Drosophila melanogaster: one gene and its partner. The protein of the gene in region 2 interacts with the protein of the main gene of each other region in a pairwise test. Each region holds a gene or a part of one and is shown on either strand. Other genes may lie near its edges.

What was found. Proteins that work in one complex are often made in the same cells at the same time.
Region 1: the proteins of Rbpn-5 (region 2) and CG34213 interact in a two-hybrid assay, tested with the Drosophila melanogaster proteins (one large-scale study listed by BioGRID).

Annotation. Positions count from the first base shown.
Region 1 is NT_033778.4:23,966,558-23,969,356, reverse strand, and holds CG34213 (uncharacterized protein), read left to right. Parts: upstream 1-1,611; 5' UTR 1,612-1,664; coding exon 1,665-1,699; intron 1,700-1,750; coding exon 1,751-1,841; intron 1,842-1,894; coding exon 1,895-2,188; 3' UTR 2,189-2,233; downstream 2,234-2,799. Other genes in the region: CG10904 (uncharacterized protein), read left to right, coding at 1-214; or (orange), read right to left, coding at 580-791, 849-1,051, 1,113-1,204, 1,269-1,337; Alas (aminolevulinate synthase), read right to left, coding at 2,709-2,799.
Region 2 is NT_033778.4:21,087,859-21,092,971, reverse strand, and holds Rbpn-5 (Rabaptin-5), read left to right. Parts: upstream 1-1,967; 5' UTR 1,968-2,045; coding exon 2,046-2,100; intron 2,101-2,160; coding exon 2,161-2,702; intron 2,703-2,757; coding exon 2,758-3,542; intron 3,543-3,606; coding exon 3,607-3,742; intron 3,743-3,800; coding exon 3,801-3,917; intron 3,918-3,980; coding exon 3,981-4,289; 3' UTR 4,290-4,586; downstream 4,587-5,113.

The sequences.
Region 1 (2,799 bases), 2.9 Mb from region 2:
ATTCGTTGATCCAAATCGAACTGTCGAAGCTCCAGCTGCTCCCTCTCCCTTCCACTTACCATTAAGTGGTCGTGATCAATGGGACGCATTTGGCGAACTAATCGCCAGTGAATTCCGTAACCTGAACTCTGAAGTTTCGCGCAAGAGGCTGAAGCGGAAAATAATGCAAGTTATGCTGGAAGTCGGCGAAGAAGATGATCTTACAAACAGTTGATTGTAGAATTATGAACATGTTTAATACAGCGGACACCGTTTTAGGTATAAATCTTTAATATATGCAGCACACAGATCATGCGAATACGTCATCGCAAGACACTTTGTATGTACATTTTAAACCCCATTCGATATAGAACGGAAGTGGTTGAACTTCGCATTGTTAAGCTATCAAAATCGTAAGGCTCGTTCTCGCTACTGGTAATTCATTTGCATTTTTATTATGGTAGGGGAGTTATATAGAGTACGTGGGACCTAATATTACGGAACAGTCGACAGCTGTTGGAAATTCATGAAGGACTGCGAAAAAGCACTAGATTCAACAGATTACAATTAGACGAGAGAGTTATATCAGACGCACATTTGTCAGAACTTAAAGTCCTTAATGGCCTGCGGCAGATCAGGTAGCTTGATGTCTTTAATCTGTTGCGGAATGTTCATACTCTTCACGGCGCTCACAGCTCGGGCAGGTGCAGCCGAGATGCCCGCTTCCTGCTTGACGATCTTGTTCTGCTCCTCGATCCTGGCCATTATGTCGTTCATATTTGTCTGCAGGACCATTCCGCCCATTACCAGTTCTGAAACGAATTCATGATAGCTGAATCTGAATGGATTGCCAAAGTAGCTTTCCCAACCTGAGAGGATGTGGTGGACGGCATCGGCGTGGAATATCAGGTCCAGCTCACACACGTTTTCGAAGCACTTGTCGAGGGTTTCCACGAACACCTGAATCAGGTCCAGGATTCCCAGTTCGCTCTCCGAGGAGTCCACGCAGAAAACGAAGTACAGCGTGGCATAGTGTCTGTAGATGAGTTTGTAATCCGATCCGCCAATCAAACTGTTGGAGGAAAGAGGTGCTTTAAGATATTCCAGGAATTTGCGGGAACAATATTGCTCACCTTCCGCCCTCCAGAAAGTTGCAAACATTATCGTCCCGCTTGGACACCAATTGGAAAGTCTCTTTGATTATTTGTTGCTGCAGGCTTTCATCCTACAAATGATAGTGACAATTTATTATGAACTAGATTATATGGATTATATGTCGCAGTACTTACGAAATACTGATAGAACTTCGATAGCCGCGGCTTCCCGTGATTGTTAAAAACGAGAATGGCTTTTATCATCTCAACTTCTAAGATAAGTCAACAAAAAAAATGAAAATGTTTAAACTGCCAGCTGTTTTGCTTTTTCGACGAGGGCTGCAAAATCAATACTTGGTATAGCATCTATAATATCGATATATCTTTATCTGACGTATTTATTTCAAAAATCTAATAAGAATCATGCATATTTTAGAAAGTTAGGGAAAATATATTTTTTAAAGCAATTTCTTAAATCGGGTGTTAAAAATCCGTACAAAAAAAAATTCTATGGATTTCTGATTGTTGCCCATCTCTAATGCCTTTAACCTCGCGGTCTCCGATTTGTTTATTTCTTATTTTTATTGAATTATGAATATTTTGACAAAAGTAAAATACAGCTGCAGGTACTCTGGGTTTTATTTTGTAACTCCCTTTAGTTAACGTATAGTTTGCAGGGTGAGCTCGGTTTTAAACAGAGATGTGAAGCAGCACGGAAAGCAATTCATGTTTGATACGCGGGAAGAAACTTCTTGGAATTCAGATGAGGTATCATCCTAAGATTTGGAAAAAAAGAATATAACTCCAAACGGCCATTTCAGGGAACCCCCCAATTCATTACCATTAGCTTGGAGGAGCCACAGAAAGTAGCTGGATTTAGTTTCCAGTTCCAAGGCGGATTCTCTGGCCAAAAATCCGAACTGATCATGTACTCCGCTGACGGAGCCCAAGTTCACCAAGAGCCATTCTACCCAGAAGATATCAACTCCCCACAGCTTTTTCAGATTGCGGAATCAGTCCGGGAAAACCCCTGCTCAAAGCTAAAGTTCGTCTTCGAGTCCAGCACCGATCTATTTGGTAGAATCATTGTTTACGATCTCCAGCTGTTCGGCTAGTCTCTGACCCAATAGATCTTACTAAATGTGTACAAAATCTTCTCTAATCAAAGTGTATAAAATCGGATCATTATCTATTGTGGTATTATCAAAAACATTGGTCCGTAATAGGATGGTCATGGTTATCAGCAATAATTGTGCTGATTCAGCCTGCCACTGCTGAAATTGATATGCGACTAATTTCATATAAATATTTCAAACTAGGTAAGCCCTTTAAGTGCTTACGAGTGTGGATCAAGGTTCAATGAAAATATTTCCACGCGATTCCCCAATTTGAATATCATTTGCATGGAGCTGGCTCGAAAAACACGCAACTTCATAGCGAAGGTGACACTCTAGTCCATGTCTTATCACCCCATATAGAAGCGTCATCAATCAGCTTAGCCCATTCCAATTGAAATTTCGTCATTTATGTATATTGCACCAAAACCATTGTTTATTTGTCCAAAACCGCACAGATAATTTAGGCATAGCTTTATGATTCGAATGCTTCATTTATAGTCGTGTTTCCAAGAGGCAACTATGCTGCAAGCGAGATCTCCAGGCGAGGGCAGTTGGGAATGCCACACTCCAGATCCGGGGAGGTGTCCTGGTGCCAGCAGCTCTCCGAG
Region 2 (5,113 bases):
CTTCAGGCAGTTGATAAGCCAATTGATCTATAGAAGCTGGATGTTCTGGGTCATGGATCTCACCTTCGATTGTGCGGAATACAACGGCACCGCCGATATTGTATAGTGCCAGGATGAGGATGAGGAAGATGTGGGTGAACCATCGGCGCGACCACTTGTACATGCCGAAGGTCATCTTCTCGCCGAAGCTCAAGCCCGACTTTGTGATATCGAGGAAGCCCTCGTAGCCCTTGGTCATAAAGTTGCCGTATCCGAAGGGATTGGCCATTGGTGGCCAGTAGGGTCCCTGTGTTCCATTGCCCGTGAAGTTCGTTTGGGCCGTATAGGGTGGCTGGGCACTGGGTGGCATCGATGCCTGGCTCATTGCCGATCCGCTGGTCAGATTGTGGATGTTGATCCTGGGCGGTCGATTTGCCCGCCGTGAAGGCGGCGGTGTGCTGGGAATGGGTGTTATGCTCTGGGTTTGCGACATGGTCGGTTTTTTTTTTGGTATATCCGGGAATCTATATGGATTCGCTTTGCAATTTTCTAATTGATATCCGTAGGAACTCAAAACATTGGGCACTTTATGGTCATTATTCAAGTTCCGTTCACATACATATATCGCGGCGGTTGTACTTATATATTTGTATTATTTTTAAGTTTATAAGTAGAAATGCCGTCGCGATTCCAAGGCGCCGCGTATTTATTTCTTCGCGTACTTTTTTTTCCCGCTTCCGACCGCCTCGTTCCTGAATCCAATGCGAACTGAACAGACGCCAAATATTTTGGCCAACATCGCTGCTGTTGTCGCTGGGCATAATGCTGTAGTATTTGTATCGGCCACGAATCTCCGGCTGCCGACTATGACGACATCGAAAGTCATGAGCTCACAAGCCTGCCAACAAGTCCAAGACCTAGAAGACCCAACGGATCTCAGCGTACACTGACGAAAAAAATGGTCTATGTAATGCCTAATGCTATGATTTAATTAATATTATTGGCTATAAGGTGGTTAACAAATGTTTAAAGTTAACATTAGTTACAGCGTACAATTATTTTTTACCTATCGACTAAAATGTTTTCCAATTTCTGGTAGTGTACAGCCATGATAATTTTATAATTAGTCAAGTTTTCGGCTTCCTCAGCCGATGCCGAAATTCTGAAATCGAGTTTTGTTCTGGTTAACGCGTAGTTTTGTTATCTCAAATAGTTTGCTATATTGTTATATTTAAATATGTTTTCTCATTAGCTAGGCATTATTGAAGTATTCATTTTCCTCTCATAATTTATCAGCTCTTAGCGTTTTCTCGCGTTTCTGGCGCTTAATAATTTGCATAAAATTAAAAGAACTGACGGTATTAGTCATTCATGATCGGCAGTCATTTACCTTTTCATAGAATTGTGTCTAATATATTCTGCCGTTGTCATTTGGCTTACACACAAATGTTGAAACACTTTCTAGGAAATGCTTAAGAAAATCCTAAATAATTAAGAACGATTAAGATGCAATTATAAACATTATACAAATTTAAATTATATGGTATTGTTTATTTATATTCCTTACCCATTTGTTTTCTTTTTCTATTTATAGTTCCTGATGGCTGATGATAACAAAAAATTCGAGGAATATCTAGATTTAGATTTTAGACTAAGATATAAAAGGACAAAGGAGTGATTTTAAAGGATTCCGACTTTTAACTTAATAAAACGGGTTCTTAAAAAGGACACATTAAAAGGACATAAAATAAGAATACATTTGCAAATTGGCGAAGGGAAATTATTAAAACTATTTTACCAAGTATCTGTAAGTAAATATTTTAAACTTTCTATACTTCTATAGAAAACTTAATCCCAAAAGATGTTTATCAAGCTCAATAAAGTTAGATTTTGAAAACCTTTTTTAACGGCACTGCCAAGCAATACTAAAGTATTAACTATCGGTATTATTCAAATATGGTAACACCAAGAGCAGTGTTGAAAATCGCTCAAATGTATATGTTCTAATTGGTGCGCTCACATATGTACATATAAACTAATAAATTGGCCATCACACAATATAGAAAATGGAAGAAAACGAGACCCGGTCAGAGGCCAGGGAACCCACGGACCTGCCCAATGGTAAGGCAGCACCACAGGAAGCCTGAACAGCCGATAACTAACCCATAACTCCAACGGCAGGTGAGGATGACGCGACCAGCCAGCACAAACTCAGTCACCTGCAGAACGAGATGCGCAAAATGCAGAACGAGTTCAACACGCAGCGGGCGAAGATGCGGGAGCTGTACATCCAGAAGGAGGCGGAGGTCAGCCAGAGCCAGCAGGAGCGACGGCAGCTGCAGGCGGAGCTGGACGAGCTGAAGACACACCTAATGGTGGCGGACCTTAAGTCGCAGAACGAGCTGCAGCTGAGGGACCTCAAGGCGCAGGAGGAGATCTCCTCGCTGCAGCAGCTGGTGCAGGACACTATCGAGGAGACCGCGCACTACAAAGGCGAGGTGGAACGGCTCAGGCTGGAGCTGGGCAAGTACCAGCAGATTCAACAGCAGACGATGGCTCAACAACCGCAGGCCGAGTCATCTGGCGGTATAGCGCCGCAGGTGCTCAATCAGGTCAAGAAGACACTAGGCTCTGTGCGTAAACTGGGCACCGACTCCCTGAACAGCAGCTTTCAGCAGGACGAGGACACCCGGGCATCGAGCAAGGGCAATGGCAAGCAATACGTATGTTTTCGGGACTAATCTTTCAACTATCAAATTAACTGAGCTTATATTGCAGGCTCCTGAGGAGGCGGAGATGATGCACTCAATTGTCGAGCAGCTTCAGGAGGAGATGAAGGCACTAAAAGTGAAGCTGCGCGAACAGGACGAGCAACTGCAGGCCAAGTCGGCGTCCGATGAATCCGCCCTGCACAAGTCCACGTCCATGGACGTCGCCGAGAGCGCCTGCGAGTCGTGCAGCTTGGCAGAAAAGAAGACCGAAGAGCTGGGTGCCCATATAAACAAACAGCAGAAACAGGTGGATCTGCTGCAAAAGCAGCTGGTGGAATCCCGGGAGACACTGGTTAAGGAGGCGGCATTGCGCAAGGATCTGGAGGACCAGTGGCAAGAAAAGCGGGAGGCCCACAAAAGCGAAGTACAAAGCCTGCGTGACCAGGCCAAAACCAACGAGCAGCGACTGCTGGACATGCAGCAAAAGTTTCTCGAGACCAAGGACGAGGTTATTAAGCAGATCCAGCGCGTCTCCGACGACCGAGAGCGGGTCAACAAGCAACTGGAGACGTTGCAGGCGGACAACGACTTTCTGTCCGGTCGCTATCTGGCCACGTCCGAGGAGATCGACAACCAATATATCAATCTGCCCAACACGGTCGTCGAGCTCCAGGAGCTGATACTGCGACAGCAAAGCGAGCTAATCCAAGCACGCGTCAGCAGCGAATACGAGCGACAGAAGTGCACCAGCACTGAAGATGAGATTCAGATCTTGCGGGCCCAGCTGGAGGAGAGCAACAATGAAAGGCGGGCCTACAAGCGCAAAATGCAACTAGATATTAAGTCACTGCAGTAAGTTACAACCTCTTGTCTATGGTGGTGTTCACTTTGGCCCACGTTTTAAATGAATTTTCAGGGATCGGGTGACGGAACACTTGGTCACGGTACAAGCGTACGAGACTACCAAAACCCAACTGGAGCGCAAAGAGGCTGAGCTGAACAAGCAGCTCTCCGAGTGTCGCGTGGAGATCATTGAGCTGCAAGAGGCCAATGTAAGCTATCATATTTTGTTGTCACACTTGATTCTTCGCTAACCAGATCACATTACAGGAAAAGTACGCCAAAACAAATGCAGACTACAAGACGAAGATAAAAACACTACAGGAGGAACTCTCCACCATGGAGACTGTTCAAAAGGACTTTGTCAAACTATCTCAAACGCTTCAGGTGAGTGAGATATAAAAATATATGGTTTATTCACTTAATTAATTACATTGTGTTGTGCCACAGATGTCGCTGGAGGAGCTGCGGCATGCCGACACGGAGGTGCGTTGGCAGGACGATGACGATGTGAACAACTGTCCCACGTGCAATGCCTACTTCACGGTCATGGTGCGCAAGATCCATTGCCGGCACTGCGGCCACATCTACTGCGATAAGTGTCTAACGAAAACGGTGCCATCTGGACCACGGAAGCGAGTGGCCCGAGTCTGTGATATCTGTCACACGCTGCTCACGCCAAACACCGCACCCTACTTCAGTCAGGGACAGCCGCCGCAGCAGCAGCAAGGCCAGCAGCAGCAGCAGCAGTCCAACTAGGCGTTTGGGCTCCAAGCCCAAGTGATTGTGTATTATGTGTGAAGTACGATTACGATTAGTTGGTATCTCCTTGAACTCTATTGCTCTATTTCTGTGCTCCGATACTACGATTACGATCCGAGGTCAAACCTTTCCAATGCCCATTTCCATTTGCCAATGTCTATTTCCGATTTTGTTGTTCCATTATTTTGGCCCTATACATAACGTAAGCGATGAGTTGTCTATGTTAGCTTTCGTCGTAGGTAAGTTTTCGTAACTGAATTTAACTCAAAGCAAATATACAAATTAAAAACAATTAAATTTTTGTTGTTTGTCGCCGCACATCTCTACTTGAACCAACTTTGCCTGCAATAGAGTTGATATCAAAGTAATGAATTGAGTTGTTTAATTCAAAGGCGAGCCATGCAACATAAAGTTTGTGTTCTTGTTTATTTAAAAATGCTAAGAAAAGAGTTTGTAAATTATTGTTAACAATTGTATTTGTGTCTTCATTTGGTTGCGAGGAGCTAGGATTGGTATAGGTATTTGCTAAATATTAAAACGTAATAACAATTTCGGGCATGCCCATATAAATTCAGTATATACAACTCTCACTTCAACTACCAAATAATGATAAACTAATACTGCAATCTCCGCACTCAACGAAAAACGTTAGCAACTACAGACTTCACAACACACGCACAAACACGGAGGGGGGAATCACACTACTTGAGTAGCAATTACGTCTTGTTTTGGCACACATTGTCTGCGGAAGAGATAGAAAAATGATTACCCAATTAGCCCGTCGCCGGGAGATAGCTAGATTTCAATTCGATTTCGCTTAC